Elephas maximus indicus: one gene and its partner. The protein of the gene in region 1 binds, or shares a complex with, the protein of each later gene. Links are inferred from orthologs where the notes say so. Each region holds a gene or a part of one and is shown on either strand. Other genes may lie near its edges. The genes, in order: RRN3 and TAF1A.

Region 1 (9,020 bases):
ATGTAAGGATGCAGGGAAACTTGACTAATGGAAACAGAACAAGCAGAATGAAAATACTGAGAATGTTCACGCATTGTGAAGAATGTAACCAATGTCACTGAACAACTTTCTGTAGAAATTGTTAAATAGGAACCTAAACTCATGTGTAAACCTTCACCAAAAACAATAAAATATTATTAAAAAAAAAAAGATTGGATTTTATCTTGGGTAAATAGAGGTGGTTCTTAAGAACTGTAATTAATGAACCTCCGGCAGTACCTACAATATGCCTAGGAGCAGAAGATGGTCACCTTGAAAGAAAAATAAAAGTCACTTTGATCTTCTTAATGAATATACATGTTTACGTATTTTTAAGACATTAAACTTTCCTGATTTTTTTTTCCAGATTTTAAAATGCTTTTATAGAATGGACAATTTTTTAAATTTTAGTTCTTTGAGTAGGGTAATACATCTCTATATTCCCCAAAACCAAACCCACTGCTGTCGAGTCAGTTCCAACTCATAGTGACCTATAGGACAGAGTTGAACTGCCCCATAGAGTTTCTAAGGCTGTAAATCTTTACAGAAGTAGACTGCCACATCTTTCTCCTGCAGAGCAGCTGGGAGGTTTGAACCGCTGACCTTTGGGTTATCAGCCAAGCACTTTAACCACTGTACCACCAGGGCTCCTCATTTCTATGTGATATAACTCAAAAAGCATAAAATGGTATATAGTAAATCCCCTGCCACTCCAAATCCCCAGCACCATTCTCCTACTGACAGACATTAAATTTTGTTAGTTGCTTCTAAATCTTTTCTCATAAACACACATACACATGTATATTGTAAAAGTATATATTCCAGTGTTCACATATTGTTAAGCAGCTTGCTTTTTCACTTAATACATCTTGGAGATCTTTCCATTTTGGGAATGAAAGCGCTTATTTTTTTATGAATATATAATATTCTATTGAGTGGATATATCATAGTTAATTTAGCCTGTTATTGATGGACAATTTGGTTATTTCCAATTTAATTTTTTTCCTTTTTTTGCCAATTCAACTTTTTACAGGTATACAACTAATTGGAATCAATTACATTAATTGGCTGTGCAACCCTACCCTTAATCAATGCAGGTTTTTCCATCACTGTAAACAGAAACCAATTTAATAATTTTTTATGCAATAATAAATATGGACCTTGGTCAGCTGTTAATGATTAACCTTTGATCTTAAGAAACCCAGTGGTCATTTAGTCCAGTCCCTCCCCCAAGGAAACTAACAAAAATCCTAAGCAGACTGCCTAAGATCACATAGCTAGTTAGTGGCAGAGGCTGGACAGCCCTGAGTGTGAGTCCTCTTTCCATCAAATCACTGTAATTATCATTTCACTGCATTATAAATATCAAACTCAAACCAAACCTGTTGCTGTTGAGTTGATTCCTACTCATAGCAACCCTATAGGACAGAGTAGAACTGCCCCATGGGGTTTCCAAGGAGTAGCTGGTAGATTCAAACTGCTGACATTTTGGTTAGCAGCCAAGTTCTTAACCACTGTGCCACCAGGGTTCTGCATTATAAACAGCCTCCTTAAAAAACAAACAAAAAGCATCTTCTTAGAAATTCGAACTTGAGCTCTAAAATAGCTCAAAAAGTAAATTACTATTCTCATTTTATAGGTAAGGAAACCGGTTCTGAGAATTTAAAGTAGTTGCCCAAAGTCACAGAGTAAATGAAAAAGCTGGAATTTGAATCCTGCTCCATGTGACTCTAGGCTCTAAAGGGTGAAATTCTATAAGCAAATCAACCAATTCCAAATAAAAAAAAATTTTTTAAGTAATCCTGTTAGTGATAATTTCTTCTTTCCCCATTATATGAATTAATATACTTCATTGTACCAAATAAACAGACAACTTCGTATACACTTTTATGCTTAAGCTAACTCCAGTTAGTTTCTGTTACTGCTAGCCAAGAGGTTTAACCAACAGTATTATATATTGCTCTAGGGATGGTTGCAGAATTCATCTCTAGGGCACAACTGCTCTTTTAAAAAAAAAAACAGTTTAATCGGTCTTCTGGGTATATGAAAGTAAAGCAAAAATTCATTCTGGAATGAAGAAGCTCGGAACAATTAGGAACAACCGTGATGCACAGTGATATAAAAGGGTGGCTACATTGGCCAAGGCTGCATCTTTTTCGGGGGGGAGGTGAGAGGAGAGAGGTCTCTTTATTTTTTCTGATTAGGGCTGGAGACAAGGGAAGATAGGGCTCTAGGGAAGGCAAGACTGGATGAAGGAGACTTTTATCCTGGGAAGATGGGTTGGCCCATGTCCAAGGGGACTAAGTAGTGATTCCCCAGTGAAGGAGCATGTCAAAGAACCCAAATAATGAATTATACTATTTGGTTTTAAGTTTTTTTCTTGTATTATTCTCAGGCTTCCATTTAAATTTTATGTTAAACATGGAAGCCTGGTCTTAGCTGAGCTTTAGGAGAATAAGGAAGGAGCTGTGCTCAAGCTTAAGGAGAAGAAGATACTGCTGGAAGCTCTTTGTCTCTTTCCAAACCAACAACCCTGCCCTAGAAAAATGCTTACGCATGTGCATCAGACAACTATACAGGAATACTCATAGCAGTAACGTACAGGATAGCACAAATTAAAAAAAAAAGAAACTATGAATGTCTAGTGATAGAGTGGATAAATAAATTGTAATTCATATAATGGAATGGGAATCAACGGGTTGGCAATGGATTTGGTTTTTTGAATAGGCCAGAGAAAATAAACCACAACTATATACAACAGGGATGGATTTTAGAAGCATATTGTTGATTGAAATAAGCAAGCAGCAGTGTGATACACCTTGGAAATAATTGTATAAAATTTTTCAATTTTATAAAACTAAACATTGTTTAATTTTGTGGTTTAGGAATAAAACAAAGTATAATTTTAAAAAATCAGGATAGTGATGACCTTTGGGAGGAAAGCAGGGAGAAGGTGGGGCCTGGAAGGAGCACACAGGAAGTTTCAATCATTTAGGTTAACGGTCTGTTTCTTAAATTGGGTGGTACTTTCACAGGTGTTCATTTATTATGTTTTGTAGTTTATATTAACATATTCTTTTGTACATATCAACTTTTTAAAACGAAAGAATAAAGTATTTGTCAAATTGCTTGACAGTACAAAGTTACTCTTCCACTCAGTGTATGAGAGTACTGATGAACTGTGATTAAAACAGCTTTTTTTTCTTTTCCTTTGGAGGAGGAAAGGAAGAAATTCCCACTTAAACAGCTGTCTTGAAGCGTCCTTGCCAACTAGGGCACAATCACTTCCTCTGCTCTTCGGACGTTGTTGACTTCTGCCCAACATTCCCCAGAAACTCTGAAGCAGTGAGGGAAGAAATGGTGGTGGGACTGAATAGAGACAGCAGAAAGACAGTTACTATTTTACACTGTTGCAAAACAGAATTGCCCTTTATACCTAACAATTATATTAGCTGTAACCGCCCCTTAGTATTGAGGGGAGGGACAGTCCCTCCTTTACCTTTGCCTCCTCCCCTCCATGCTTTGGCACCTACTGTTCTCTGTTGTTAGTTGCCATCTAGTCCATTCTGACTCAGGACCACCCCATGTGTGCAGAATAGCTCCTTAGGGCTTTCGAGGCTGCGACCTTTCAGAAGCAGATCACCAGGCCTTTCTTTCCAGGAGCCTCTGGGTAGGTCTGAGTTCAAACCGCCAACCTTTGTGGCTAGTAGTCAAGCACTTAACCACTTCCACGACCACCACTCAGCTGCTTTGTTAGGTTGGCTAGCTACTGTTCCTCCTTTAAAACTTCAAGTTCAAAGGTTAACACCTCTTGGAAACTGCCTTTGCCCCATTTCTCATTCCAGCATCACCACTCACAGCTCTGAGAGTTTAGAGTAAGTCACTTGCCAAGACTCAGTTTCCTTGTGGATAAGATTATCTCGGGCGCCTGTGAGGATAGTGCGGAGGTTATAGAGCCCAGGGTCCTTGGTCACGCAACCTGGCTCTCATTCTTGGCCACCCCTTTTCTCTGTGAGGGTTTGAGTTACTCACAGGGCCTCAGTTTCCGCATTTATGCTCAATTATCATGTTTGTAGAAGTGCTTTGACTAAAGAATGTTTTAATACTCAGTGGAACCCAGCGACTGCTTAGCCCCTCCCAGCGCCCTCCGTCTTCCTTTGGGATCCTCAGTGTTAAAAGGAGCTCCTTGGGTGGCGCAAGCTGTTTCTGCTGGATCAGAGGTAGGCAGTTGGAATTCACCCTGCAGAGCCACAGAAGAAAGGCCTGGCGACATGCTTCCGTAAAGGTTACAGCCAAGAAAACCCAGTGACCTCAGTTCTACTCTGTAACACATGGGGTTGCCATGGGTGTGAATCAACCGGGCAGCAATGGGTTTGTTACTTTGGTTTTGGCTAGAAGAAGCCGCTGCCCCCCGTTTTTAAGGCCACCCTCGGCGTTTCCCGCCTCACTGGGCAGACAAAATCTTCAAATTAGGAGGGGCGGCTGGGAGGCGGGGCTGAAGGGCTGAGGGGGAGACTTGGCGGCGCTCTAGCCCGCCGACATCGCCTTGCTCTCCTCTCCTGGGCTCCCTCATTGGCCGAAGTCTGTCGCTTACGCGCCCGCGGCTTCCGGTACGGAGGCGGTAGCTGGAGGCAGGACGACTTCCGGCGCGAGGCGCAGCAGTGGAGCTTGTGCGGGCCAATGGCGGCGCCGCTACTTCACACGCGGTTGCCCGGGGATGTGGCCGCTTCGGCCTCTGCGGTCAAGACGCTGGGGGCCGCGAGGACTGGGTAAGGGTCGAAGTCCCCCTTCCTTTTGAGCGTTAGGGACTAAAGCCCAGGCCCGGGGTTGGGGCAGCGGATATGAAAGACGCAAAGCTGATGAAGTGGGGTGGGAGCAGGGGCCAGTGAGTCAACTCAGGTCTTCCAGAGTGATTTATTCCCCCGAAGTGGCTGATGGAGGCGGGAGGGGGCGTTGGAAAAATAAATGAGCCCCTTCTCTGTTCCGGGGGCCTCCTTTCTCCTCACTGGTCTCCCTCATAGCGTCCCTGGCCTGGATACTGCCATCAGTCACTTTCCACCTTCCCTAGTCTAGATTTGGAACGAATTCCCTGGGCTATGTGGATTATCAGATAAATGCTATCAGTGCGGGTAAATTACGTCCTAAAATATTTTTTCTTGTTTTAAATTGGTGTGACACATTTGTTTAACAGTCTTTATTCAGCTCTTGTAAAGCTTCCAGCCAACTTAGAACATTTTGAGATTTAACTTTGAGATTCATTGGTAGGAATGAATGTTTTGTCACTAATCTGCTCTGTTTCAATAAGGCGAAGTTTGTGAAACACTTAGCATGCTATCACAGGATATTTATTGAGCACATACTTACTACATTAGTTACTGGGGACAGTAGTCAATCAAAAGACAAGGTGCCTGCTGGAAACAAGTTTACAATCTGGGGCAGAAAGGCAGTAAACATACCAATAAATAAATGAACAGAATGATATCAGATAGTGCTAAGTACTGTGAAGAAATAAAACAGTGATGGAGGAGGAAGAGGGTGGGCACTTTAGAATTCTTGTGGGGATGGGCTTTCTCACATTTGAGCGGCAACTTGAATGAAGACAAAAAAGAGAAAGTGTTTTTGATAGATACAAAGTTATTACCACTTTGTACAGATACTGGTTTGCCGGAGCGAAATGAGAATCAGCTTGTCAAGTGTGAAGAACAGAAAGAGCAGTATGGCCACAGTGTAGCAAGTGGTCAGAGATGAGGTCAGAGAGGTGGGCAAGGGCCAGATTAATGTAGGATCTTGAAGGCCACAGTAAGGAGTCTGGATTTTTATTCTAAGTGCAGCAATAAGGCATTGGAGAGTTCAACAGGAGAACAGTGTGGCACAGTCTGTTTTAACTGTCTGAAACAAGTCTGGCTGCTCAGTGAAGAATGAATTATTGGGGGCAAGAGGGGAAGCAGGGAGACTGTTTAGGCTTTTGGAGTAGTCCCATTGAATGATGTTGGTTGCCATCAAGTCAACTCTGACTCATAGCTACCGTATAGGACAAAGTAGAACTGCCCCATAGGGTTTCCAAGGAGAGCTGGTAGATATGAACTGCTGACCTTTTGGTTAGCAGCTGAGCTCTTAACCACTGCGCTACCAGGGCTTAACCTCAGTTAATGTTGGCTATTATAATTTTTATTATTCTCTGTCATGAAATTAATCATTTGATAATCTTTGTTCTACAGGATTTCAGATATGCTCACATTAGAGAATGATTTCTTCAATTCTCCCCCAAGAAAAACAGTTCGGTTTGGTGGAACTGTGACAGAAGTCTTGCTGAAGTACAAAAAGGTAAAGGAAGAGATAACGTGTGAGGACTGGTTTATGTGGGTCAGAATACACCCACAGCTTTTATACTAAAGACCAATAAAAACCCATTGCCATCGAGTTGATTCCAATTTATAGCAGCCCTATAGGACAGAGTAGAACTACCCCATAGAGCTTCCAAGGAGTGCTTGGTGGATTCGAACTGCTGAGCTTTTGCTTAGCAGCCATAGCACTTAACCACTATGCCATCAGGGTTTCCAAAGATCAATAGGCATAATGAAATGAGTTTTTGGTATCGGCCTTGAAGCTATTTCATAACAGCTCAAAATTAGAGTAATAACAAGTCTTTGCTGAGGTTTCACCTCTTCAAATGTTATATTTACACATTTTTTTTTTATCTATGCTTGAGTAAAAAACCATTAGATCAGAGCATTTTATCTTCCTAAGGAATTACCTGAGCATTACTTTGAAACAATAAACCAGCTTTGCAGAAAGACGTTTTTGTTGTGTTTTTTTTTTTTTGGAATTTGTTTTTGCAGTTGTTTAGAAGTAATGCTGTTAGATCTCAGTGATGGAGGGGAAAATATAGATGACTATCCATTTGTGTACATGATATCAATTTATAGCCATATATGTGAATCATATTTTCATTCCCCCTGAATTAGATATAAAAAAAAAAACCCGTTGCTGTCGGTCAGTTCTGACTCATAGCGACCCTATAGGACAGAGTAGAACTGCCGCATAGAGTTCCCAAGGAGTACCTGGTGAATTCGAACTGCTGACCTTTTGGCTAGCAGCCATAGCACTTAACCACTATACCACCAGGGTGTCCTGAATGAGATATAGTGATTTTTTTTCTCATTTTGAGAATTCTCAGAGTACAAACTATCATAATCAAATATCAGTACACAAGTATATATCTTAAGTAAATGTGAATGGTTTTTCAGTTGTCCTTTTTTCCAAGCTGCCTGGCTCCACTAACATTAGTTTTTAAACTTTTGTAGTCTTGATTTTATAATCCTCAATTGATGTGTGGAAATTATATTATTCCTTTTGTAATTTCGGAAGATATTAAGGTATAGTTAAGAGTCCTGCTGTTGATCTTTAATAGGAAACGAGAGCAAACCAGGGCTTTGACCAGTTCGTTTTGGTTCAGCCCCTGATGAGAATTTGCCATTCCACTGTAGACATACTGAATCAGAATCTACATTTTAACAGGATCCCCAGGTGATTTGGGATGTGTATACATAAGAATCACCTGGGGATCTTGTTCAAAGCCCTGAAACAAACATAACCTCATTTTTTTCTCTTCTCGTTAAGGGTGAAACAAATGACTTTGAGTTGTTGAAGAACCAGCTGTCAGATCCAGACATAAAGGTAATTAATTTTGCGTTTGGTCATTAGCAGTGTTATTGCCACTTTGTACAGACGGTAGTTTGCACTTTTGGTCCATTTCATCCTCTAGAATTTGCTCTCTTCAGCTCCTTCTTATACAGTGGTTCACAGTCGGGGCAGTTTTATTCTGTAGGGGATAGTTGGCAGTGCCTGGAGTTACTTGTGGTTGTCCTAGCTGGGAAAGGAAAGTGTTACTGGCATTTAGTGGGTAGATGACAGGAATGCTGCTGAATATCCTACAACACACAGGAAAGCCCTCTACAACGAAGTATTTTCTGGCCCAAATGTCAGTGGTGCTGAGGTTGGGAAACCCTTGTTTAATCCCTTTCTTTATCGCATCTTTTTCCTCTCTCCTGGCATGCAAGTCTCAAGTTTCCAGTGCTAAGATAAAACAAAAACCACAAAGAAAAATGACTTGTCTTTGAAGCTACTACTGCATGTTCACCGTTGACAAGTTGAAAGTATATACCTGTCATGTAATAACAACTCAGTAAATTTTGGCTCCCTTTTTTTCCTTCACTGCCCAAATTTGGAAAGAATAGTCTTTACAGTATATTTTATATCCAGGTTGGTAAGTCTACCTTCACCGAGTTCTTTCGGCTGCATATCCAGAGTTCTCAACTGGTGCGGCAGTGGGGGCAGCTGTTTCTTCTTTAACTCCATTTACAGTCAATTTGTATTTCACTTGCAGCCTTATTACATGTCATTTCTTTACTTTCTTTGTTGGCCAACTCCCTTTTTTGATTATACATTTTTGTAGCGTCTCATGGATTAATCATTGGGAGACAAGTAACACAGCTAGAGTACATTTTGTTATCTGTGTATGAACTGAATAATGTGTAGTGAACAATTGTAGCTGGACTTGGAAAGACTTTGTAGTGACCAGTCGTAGTTGGACTTTGAAAGAAGTGATGTTATTTGTCCCTGTAATGATGTACATCTGTTACTTATGTAGTGAGTGGTGGATTGAACAGCTAGCAGTGAAGTTTGTATCTTATGCAATTACAGTTAATATACCATGGTGACTGAAATTTGGGTTTACAGGCAGTCCCCGGGTTAGAAACTTACAACCTCTAGTTATGAACCAGCCCCCATAAAGCCTATTATATTAAAAATTTGAGGTACATACAGTGGTTCGTAATAACAAATAGGTGCTACTTTGCAACATGCATAAAAACGTTATTATTATTACTATATTATGTTATGGATGTTTTAGTGTTCCTGGAAGTGTTTAATGTTTTTATACATAGAAGGGTATACTATATACTAAGATAAACATTTAACTAACTGATGTTAGATATTAAGCA
Region 2 (9,020 bases), on another chromosome or scaffold:
TGGATACAGGAATCTGGAAATAAACAGTGAAGTCAGGGCCAGAGATATAGGACTGAGACTCACGAGCAATAGATATTTAAGGTGATGAAACTGAATGAGATAATCAAGTGAGTAAACATCAGGAAGAGGACAAAGGATTGAGCCCTGGGGCACTCCCAAGCCAAAAGGCCAGGGAGAAGAGCAGCAACCAGAAAAGAGGACTGAAGAATAGTCAGTGAAGTAGGAGAGAAAATGAAGAGAAAGTGCAATATCCTAGAAGCCAAAGAGAGAAAATTGATCACACAGGAAGGAGTCACCTACTAACTGTTAATATTGCTGACAGATCAAGTTAGATGAGCACCAAGAACTGCTACTGGACTGAACAACATAGCAGTCATTGCTGACTTCGACTAAACAGTTCTGTTGAAATGGTGACGATGAGTGGAAAGGGTGTCTAACAGGAGAGGGTTTGGAGAGAACAGGTATATTCACCTCTTTCAAGGAGCTCTGCTGAAAGGGGGAGTTGAAAAATGAGGCATAGCTGGTGGAGGACGTGGGGGTGAGAGATGATTTTAATACTGAAGAAAAAACATATCTGTATGATGATGGGAAATATTCTGTAGAAAAGGAAAGAAGTGTTGGAATGATGAATATTGGAGAATTTAGAGCTCAAAGTATTTTTAGTCTCCTTTAAAATGAGAGTAAGTAAAAAGAAGTATACAAAAAATGTCCTGATACAATCTCTACACCCAAAGCTACTTCTAGTAGTTTTTGGTAACATCAATTTGGGAATCTACAAAGCTACTCTGGGTAAGCTCCAGAGGCAGAAACTCCCAGGGATCTAATATCTTCCAGCACACTTACACTTTGTTTACCTCAGGGGCAGCCTGCCTTTTGCCGGCATCTGAGTCTTCCAAGATCTGAAAATAACTATGCATATATTCCGCCGCTTTCTCCCACTGGTGTTTTAGCAGAGCTTCTTGGATCAAACCTAAACAAGCACTTGTTGTCTTGGCAAAATCCTTCTCCTTTTTTCCTCCAGTCTCTACAAAGATAAAAAGAAGACAGACTTTACCCGTAGTGACCCCCAATTCAATGATTCAAAAACTTTTGGCAAGCAAAATTTTTCACACGTAGAACCAAAACCAAAAACCATCAAGTCAATTCCGACTCATAGCGACCCTACAGGACAGAGTAGAACTTCCCAATAGGGTCTCCAAGAAGGACCTGGTAGATTCCAACTGCTGACCTTTTCGTTAACAAGTAGAATAGTAGGCGTTAACTGAATCAGCCCATCCTCAGTATCAAATCAGGTTCACTTGCAACAAACCCTTCCGTACTGTTATCAGCTAATAATAAGAATGCCTTATCTGATGTTCTTAAGTTACCAGTTGTTCTTGGGTTACCCTTCAAATCTGATTCAATCATCCTTTCATTCTCGCACTAAACAATCTTGGGAGCTCCCAGAGACTCCCAAAAGCACAGTTTCAGGTATTTAGAACAGGTATTAAAAATCATCAGAGTCATCCTATGCAAGCACGATCTTTATTACTTACCAACATTCTGAAAACTCCAAGAGGTAAGCTTTTAGGTTTTAAGGACTGAGTTTCAGCAACTCAATGATATGAAATGCAAATGAGATTAAAATAGTTGTAGATATTAGCATTTACATCTAAAGTATTGGCAATCAGCATGTGTGATAGTGAAGGTTGTGTGCCAACTTGTCTGGACCATGATTCTAAGTGGTATGGCAGTTACATAATGATGTAGTTTGGCAGTTATGTAATGATGTAATCATCCTCCATTTTTCTGCCTGATATAGTCATCCCCCATTTTGTGATCTGATATAAGCAGCCAATCAGTTGCAAAGGGAGTTTCCTTCACGGTGTGGCCTGGATCCAACATATACAGATGTTACAGCGAAGCTCCTGTGCTCTGGATCCTGCATCCGATTTGTCATTCTCTGACCTCTGGCCTGCCACCTGACCTACAGATCCTGGGATTCACCAGCTCCTGCAACCCCAAGTCAGCAGCCTTCTGCCCAATCTGCCGATTTTAGGTTCATCAGCCCCTGCAACCACGAGTCATGAGAAGCCTCCAGCATGATGCCTCACCCACAGATTTGGGATTTGCCACCCTCCACAACTGCATGAGCCATTTCCTTGAGACAAATCTCCCTGTGCATATATTTATGCATACACGCTTCATTAAAAACAGGAGGATCATCAACAAGATAAACTGACACAATGGCTCCAACAATGGACTCAAACATATCAATAACTGTGAGGATGGTACAGGACTGGGCAGGGTTTCATTCTGTTGTACATAGGGTCACTAGAAGTTGGAACTGACTCAATGGCACCTAACAACAACGTAACGTACGCATCACTGGTTTTGCTCCTCTAGAGAACGCAGCCTAAGACACCATGTTAAGAATGCATTTAGTTACAGACCTAATTTAAGAGTAACTTCCTACACTACAACACTCTAGGCTAACCCATTGCCGTCAAGCCTATTCCAACTCATAGCATCCCTATAGGATGGAGTAGAACTGTCCCATAGGGTTTCCAGGGAACAGGTGGTGGATTCAAAATGCTGACCTTTTGGTTTAGCAGCTAAGCATTTAACCACTGTGCCACCAGGGTTCTACTCTGTCTTATAGGGTCGTTAGGAGTCAGCATCAACTCGGTGGCAAAGGACTTGGTTTTTTCCCCTCTGATGGCTCTCTATGTCTGCTGCCTGTGGAAGGTGTCCTGGTTGTCTAGTGCTGCTCTAACAGAAATACCACAAGTGGACAGCTTTAACAAAGAGAAATTTATTTTCTCACAGTCTAGTAGGCTAGAAGTCCTAATTCAGGGTGTCAGCTCCAGGGGAAGCCTTTCTCTCTCTGTTGGCTCTGGAGGAAGGTCCTTGTCTTCAATCTTCCCCTGGACTAAGAGCTTCTCCCTGCGGGAACCTCAGGTCCAAAGTATGTGCTCTGCTCTAGGTGCTTCTTTCTTGGTGGTATGAGGTCCCCAACTCTCTGCTTGCTTCCCTTTCCTTTTATCTCTTGTAAGATAAAATGTGGTGCAGGCCACACTCCAGGGAAACTCCCTTTACGTTGGATCAGGGATGTGACCTGAGCAATGGTGTTACATCCCACCCTAATCCTCTTTAACATAAAATTACAACCACAAAATGGAGGACAACCACACAATACTGGGAATCATGGCCTAACCAAGTTGACACACATTTTTGAGGGACACGGTTCAAGCCACAACAGAAGGTCTCCTGCATACGGCTACCCAATGAAAACTTTGTTGTGCCAAACTTCAATCTCACGGTCACATCTTCTTCCTTGATTAGTCCTAATATCCCTCGAACTTACGACACTGCCACAATACAGACTATTTACTGTTAATTCAAAGGAAAAGAACTCTACAAGAGAAAAAATCTATGTTTTTTTTACAGTTTATTTTCTTTTCTCATGGCTAGAAAAAAATCTCACATATTCCCATCTTGAAAACGGAAGCTCTTCCCAGCCTGATTCTTCATTTTGTATCCACATTGAACCTTACCATCTCCTTGCATCAGGTTAAAATGGTTAGATGTTATTTTACTTACCCACAGTTTCCATTTGCTTTCGGAGCCAAGGAATAGACATTCCTGTACCAGAGAGCATTGATTTTTCCACCTGATCAGCCTCGGCCATAGGCCTCGTCAATTCGCCACTGAAGTCACTCATACCTATTCCAAACTGGGAATACGTGCACCTTAATCCATAGGCTTTTGAGTTATACCAAAAAAAAAAAAAAAAAAAGCCATCTAATAAATATCATTTACTCAGCAGAATTCACTGTACTTCATAGTTCCTTTAAAGTAAAAAATGAATTTAATTATATCAGTAACAGCCAAAACATATGGTCCTTTTGATAAAAAAACTCAGTAACTACTATGTGCCAAGAATATACAAATATAAATGATACTGTTTAAAAAAAAAAAACCTAGTCTAGAGAAACAGAAAAGTACATAATAAAACAATATAACAAGCATGATAGTAACAGTAGTAGCACTTGCCTAAATTTTTTAAATCCTTACTATATGCCAAACCCATTGCCACTCAGTTGATTCTAACTCATAGCAGCCCTATGGGACAAAGCAGAACTGTCCCCCATAGGGTTTCCAAGGAGCAACTGCTGGATTCAAACTGCCAACCTTTTGAGTAGCAGCTGCAGCTATTAACCACTGTGCCACCAGGGCTCCTACTATATGCCAGGCATATAAATTATCTAATCTAATCCTAAATTAAATAACAGCAATCCTAAAGAGAGAATATCGGAGAAATATTTGGAGGTAGCATCAACAGTACCTAATAACTGACTGCACATGGGGAATTAGGGAGAGGTACCCTGGTGGCTTAGCGCTTAAGTACTACGGCTGCTAACCAGGAGGCTGGCAGTTCAAATCCACCAGGCACTCCTTGGTAACTATGGGGCCGTTCTACCCTGTCCTATAGGGTTGCTATGAGTTCGAATCCACTCAACACCAGTGGGGTGTTTTTTTTTTCTACCCTGAGCATCTTCAGGATCAAGTCCAAAGTCAGCCTGGCATATGATTATCTTTCCAGGTTCCTCTCTCACGGTCAGTTCTACCTTTCGCATCCCTCCTTCACACAAGCCCCCAAACTCTAGCCCTGACAAGCAGTTTGACGTTCTTCCTACTTCCTAAAAGTAGCCACTCAGTTTCTTCAACATTAAAATGGAGGAAAATAATTAGTGAAGGTAACTACGCTGCCCAATGTCACAAGAAGGATGAGGGCGACATTTCAGGAAATAGAAGTAACATCAAACAGCTTGACAGGGCTGGAGTTGGGGGTGTGGGGGTGTGGAGGAGGGCAGCGGAAGGCAGTTGGAACTGATGGTGAGAAAGGAACCTAGAAAGATAGTCACATGACAGGCTGGGTTTGGACTTGATCCTGAAGATGCTTAATTCTCCATATCCAATCAATTATTAGGTACTCTTGACACAACCAGGAAACCCTGGTGGTGTAGTGGTTAAGTGCTACAGCTGCTAACCAAAAGGCTGGCAGTTCGAATCCACCAGGTGCTCCTTAGAAACTCTACGGGGCAGTTCTATTCTGTCCTGTGGGGTCGCTATGAGTCGGAATCGACTCGACGGCAACGGGTAACGGTAAAAACGCTGCCTCAAATTTTGCCTCTTCACAATACAGCCAAATTTTGCCTCTTCACAATACAGCCACACTAAACTTTGCAAAACCTAATTCTGCAGTTAGGAACAAGGGTTTTATATAAGATCTAAATTTGAGTCCGACCACCAGCTGTATTTTAAAGGGGTCGTTACAGAAGAGCTCCCTTCTCAAATTCGCAGACCCAAAATGTTGTCCCGCAGTTATCACGGTAACTAAAGCTTTTCCACCTCCTCTCACTTGTTCTTAGAATTGAAGGTTCCAGGGTATCTGGAGAAAATATTAGAAGAGCACGGATGAACCCTAGCACAAGCGATGAACGAGGGACATCGTGCGGGACATTTACCTGTCTGCTGCTCTCGCCTCCTCTTTCGCGGAACAGCGTTGGAGAACCGGAACCGGAAGTGACGCCGGCCACCGCTTCTTGTGAGCATGCGCAAAATCGGCCGCCGGCGCTCTGGCGCCTCGTGACGCAACCCCCCCCACCTCTAACAACCACTTCGGCTGTGACGTCATCGCCGCTATTCGACCCCGGAAGTGACTGAAACCGACGCGCCCCTGGTGGCTTGTCTCCGGATGTATGTTGTTGTTACCTGCAGCCGGAGAGTGGGAAAATTTAATTGCAAATGGGGATTAGGCAACAGGAGAGCAACTGGTTGGGAGGAACAGTCAAAAATGCAGAATGTCACTTTACTCGAGTTCTTTACTCTGCGATGACCGTTCGGTTTCTGCTGGGCTTAGGTGCACTGCGCTACCGGAGGCTGGCTGCTGGCATTACAAGATAGATTGTTGCATATTCTTTACTTTCTTAAGAGCTCTTTTCTTTTTTATTAAAGTTTAAGTGTCTCTGACTACTTCACCATAATTTGAGCTAGAATCTCGTTTTTCTTCTCAACGGGGGCTGTTCTGCGTACGTGTTTAGGGCCACCTTTCATGAAGGACACTGACAAACCTATATGAAATAGGGATCGGGTTGGAAGTAAGACGGTTAAACTATGTAAAATAATAGACAGTTGAGGGGTTGTAGAGATGACGATCTGGGAAAAGCAGAGACACGTGGGAATACACTGTATGTCTCCAGTGTTTGGACAGCTGATCTGTGAAAGAAGGCTTCAACTACCTTTTCATAGCATCAGAGTACAGAACTAGCACTAACAGGTGAAAGCTAAAGGAGGGCAGCTTTAAAGTCATTCCAAGAAAGAATTTTGTTCACACCTAAGCCTGCACAAATAATGACATAGGCTCCCCCCAGGAACCTTGGGGTTTCTCCTCCCAAAAGAGTGAACCATTTGGGCAGAATCAAGATATTATAGAGGAAATTAAAGGATCTAGGAAGACCAAGGGAGAAGTGATGCCTTTGAATTATGGTGTTGGCAAAGAATACTGAATATACCATGGACTGCCAGAAGAATGAACAAACCTGTCTTGGAAGGACTGCCAGAATGTTTCTTAGAAGCAAGGATGGCGAGACTGCCTCCCATAACTTGAGCATGTTACCAGGAGGGACCAGTCCCTGGAGAAGGACATCATGCTTGGCAAAGTGGAGGGTGAGTAAAAAAGAGGAAGACCATCAATGAGATGGATTGACACAGCAGGCTGCAACAGTGGGCTGAAGCATAGTAAAGATTGTGAGGATGGGGCGGGACTGGGCAGTGTTTTGTTCTCTTGTACACAGGGTCGTTATGAGCTGGAACTGACTTGCCGGCAGCTAAGAACAACAACAGTAACACCTTATACATGGACTCCTTGAAATGCTATGAATACTTGGTTCTGTGTTGTCTTAGTAAACACTGCAATAGTTACGGACTTGCAAGAAAAGTTCCTCCTGCTGCCCCTTGTGTCATAAGTGCTTGGCCCCACATAAGCCTGTGCCCAAGCTTCCCAGGGCAGGGATGACCTAAATCACAGTGTGGTCCAGGAGGGCACACACACAAAAGAACATAGCCATTAGCCTCTAGTCTATAGCCTTGGTCAGTCTGTATTTATTCCTTTGCCGTGACATATAACATAAAATATCAATATTAACAGGAGTTTGGAAGAAGTTGATTCCAGCCCTCATGGATGACTTCGAGGGGTTCAAGACTTTAGTGGAGGAAGTAACTGCAGATATGGTGGAAATAGCAAGAGAACTAGAATTAGAAGTAGCACCTGAAGATGGACTGAATGGCTGTAATCTCATGATAAAACTTTAATGGATGAAGAGTTGCTTCTTACGATTAGCCGAGAAAGAGTTTTCTTGAGATGGGATCTACTCCTGGTGAAGATGCCACGAACATTGTTAATCACAACAAAGGATTTACAATATTACATAAACTTAGTTGATAAAGCAGTGGCAGGGTTTGAGAGGATTGACTCCGATTTTGAAAGAAGTTCTACCGTGCGTAAAATGTTATCAGACAGCATTATGTGCTACAGAGAAATCTTTTGTGAAAGGAAGAATCAGTCAATGCAGCACATTTCACGACTGTCTTATTTGAAGAAGTTGTCACAGCCACCCGGAGCAGTCAGCAGCTGTCAACATCAAGGCAAGACCCTTCACCAGCAAAAGACCCTTCACGGCTCACTGAAGGCTCAGATGACGATTAGCATTTTTTAGCAATAAAGTATTTTTTAATTAAGGTATGTATATTGTTTTTTTAGATGTAATGCTGTTGCACACTTAATAGACTACAGTATAGTGTGAACATAACTTTTACATGCACTGGGAAACCAAAAATTTTGTGCGACTTACTTTATTGCAATATTTGCTGTATTGCGGTGGTCTGGAACCCAATGCGCAATATCTCCAAGGTATGCCTGTATACATGGCTAGAAATTCATACTGTCACAAAAATGGAGAAAGAATATCTGGTTTTCCTTAAAGTTCTTCAACACCTCTCGGCCACAGTACATAAAAGAGGGAAAGTAAAGAATGACTATCATTATGTGCCCTACCTTCCTCTTGTCTTTCTCATGGTATCACTCTGGTAAAAATTTATGGACCATATTATGTCTAAGCTAATATTATAAACAAGATAAAAAAGGAATGACATGTCAAAAATGCAAACAAAATAAAATGAAGCCTGCAAAAAGCAGACAGACTCCTATCTAGAAAACATCCCAAAGAACTGAAAGGTGTTCTCACAACTGCTTTGTGCTAAAGAGCCACTGAATATGATGATGAATTACATTAAAAAACAAAAAAGCCTGCACACTGACATGTAGAGAAGAGTAGTCCCATGAGCCTTTCCTGTGCAGTCTACTGAAGAATGAGCTTCAGACAACTAAACGATTGGAGAGACATCTTCATAAATTAACTATACTATACAACAGTTAATAGCATGAATACGACTTTAAAAAATCAATGTGGCAAAAGCAATAACATAAAAACAAAAACAGATCACATAATAACATAGAGAAAAATATTATCCAACTGTTGTTTATTGCCCTCAATTCAGCTCCAACTCATGGCCACCTTAAGTATAACAAAATGAAATGTTGCCTGGCTCTGTGCCATCTACATGATCATTGATATGTTGGAGTCCATTGTTGTGGCTATTGGGTCAATCCATCCATCGAGGGTTTCCCTCATTTTAGCTAACCTTCTGCTTTATTAAATGTGATAGCTTTTTCTAGTGATTGGCCTTTCCTGATGATGTGTCCGAAGTAAACAAGATGAAATCTCACCATCTTCGCTTCTGAGGATCATTCTGGTTGTATTTCTTCTAAGACTGATCCGTTTGTTCTTCTGGAAGCCCACAGTATATTTAGTATTCTTCACCAACACCACAAATCAAACACATAAATTCTTCTGTCTTCCTTTTTCACTGTCCAGCCTTCACATGCATATGAGGTGATTGAAAAGACCATAGCTTGG

Evidence for each region.
Region 2: RRN3 (region 1) and TAF1A share a complex: the UniProt entries of both Homo sapiens proteins name them as parts of the pol I pre-initiation complex. The link is inferred for Elephas maximus indicus from reciprocal best matches to the Homo sapiens genes RRN3 and TAF1A.

Annotation. Positions count from the first base shown.
Region 1 is NC_064830.1:75,844,689-75,853,708, forward strand, and holds the start of RRN3 (RNA polymerase I-specific transcription initiation factor RRN3), read left to right. Parts: upstream 1-4,644; 5' UTR 4,645-4,698; coding exon 4,699-4,787; intron 4,788-6,236; coding exon 6,237-6,342; intron 6,343-7,638; coding exon 7,639-7,695; intron 7,696-9,020. UniProt on the Homo sapiens protein: Required for efficient transcription initiation by RNA polymerase I (Pol I). Required for the formation of the competent pre-initiation complex (PIC).
Region 2 is NC_064842.1:12,222,075-12,231,094, forward strand, and holds the start of TAF1A (TATA box-binding protein-associated factor RNA polymerase I subunit A), read right to left. Parts: upstream 5,575-9,020; 5' UTR 5,511-5,574; intron 3,745-5,510; 5' UTR 3,704-3,744; coding exon 3,583-3,703; intron 1,025-3,582; coding exon 855-1,024; intron 1-854. UniProt on the Homo sapiens protein: Component of the transcription factor SL1/TIF-IB complex, which is involved in the assembly of the PIC (pre-initiation complex) during RNA polymerase I-dependent transcription.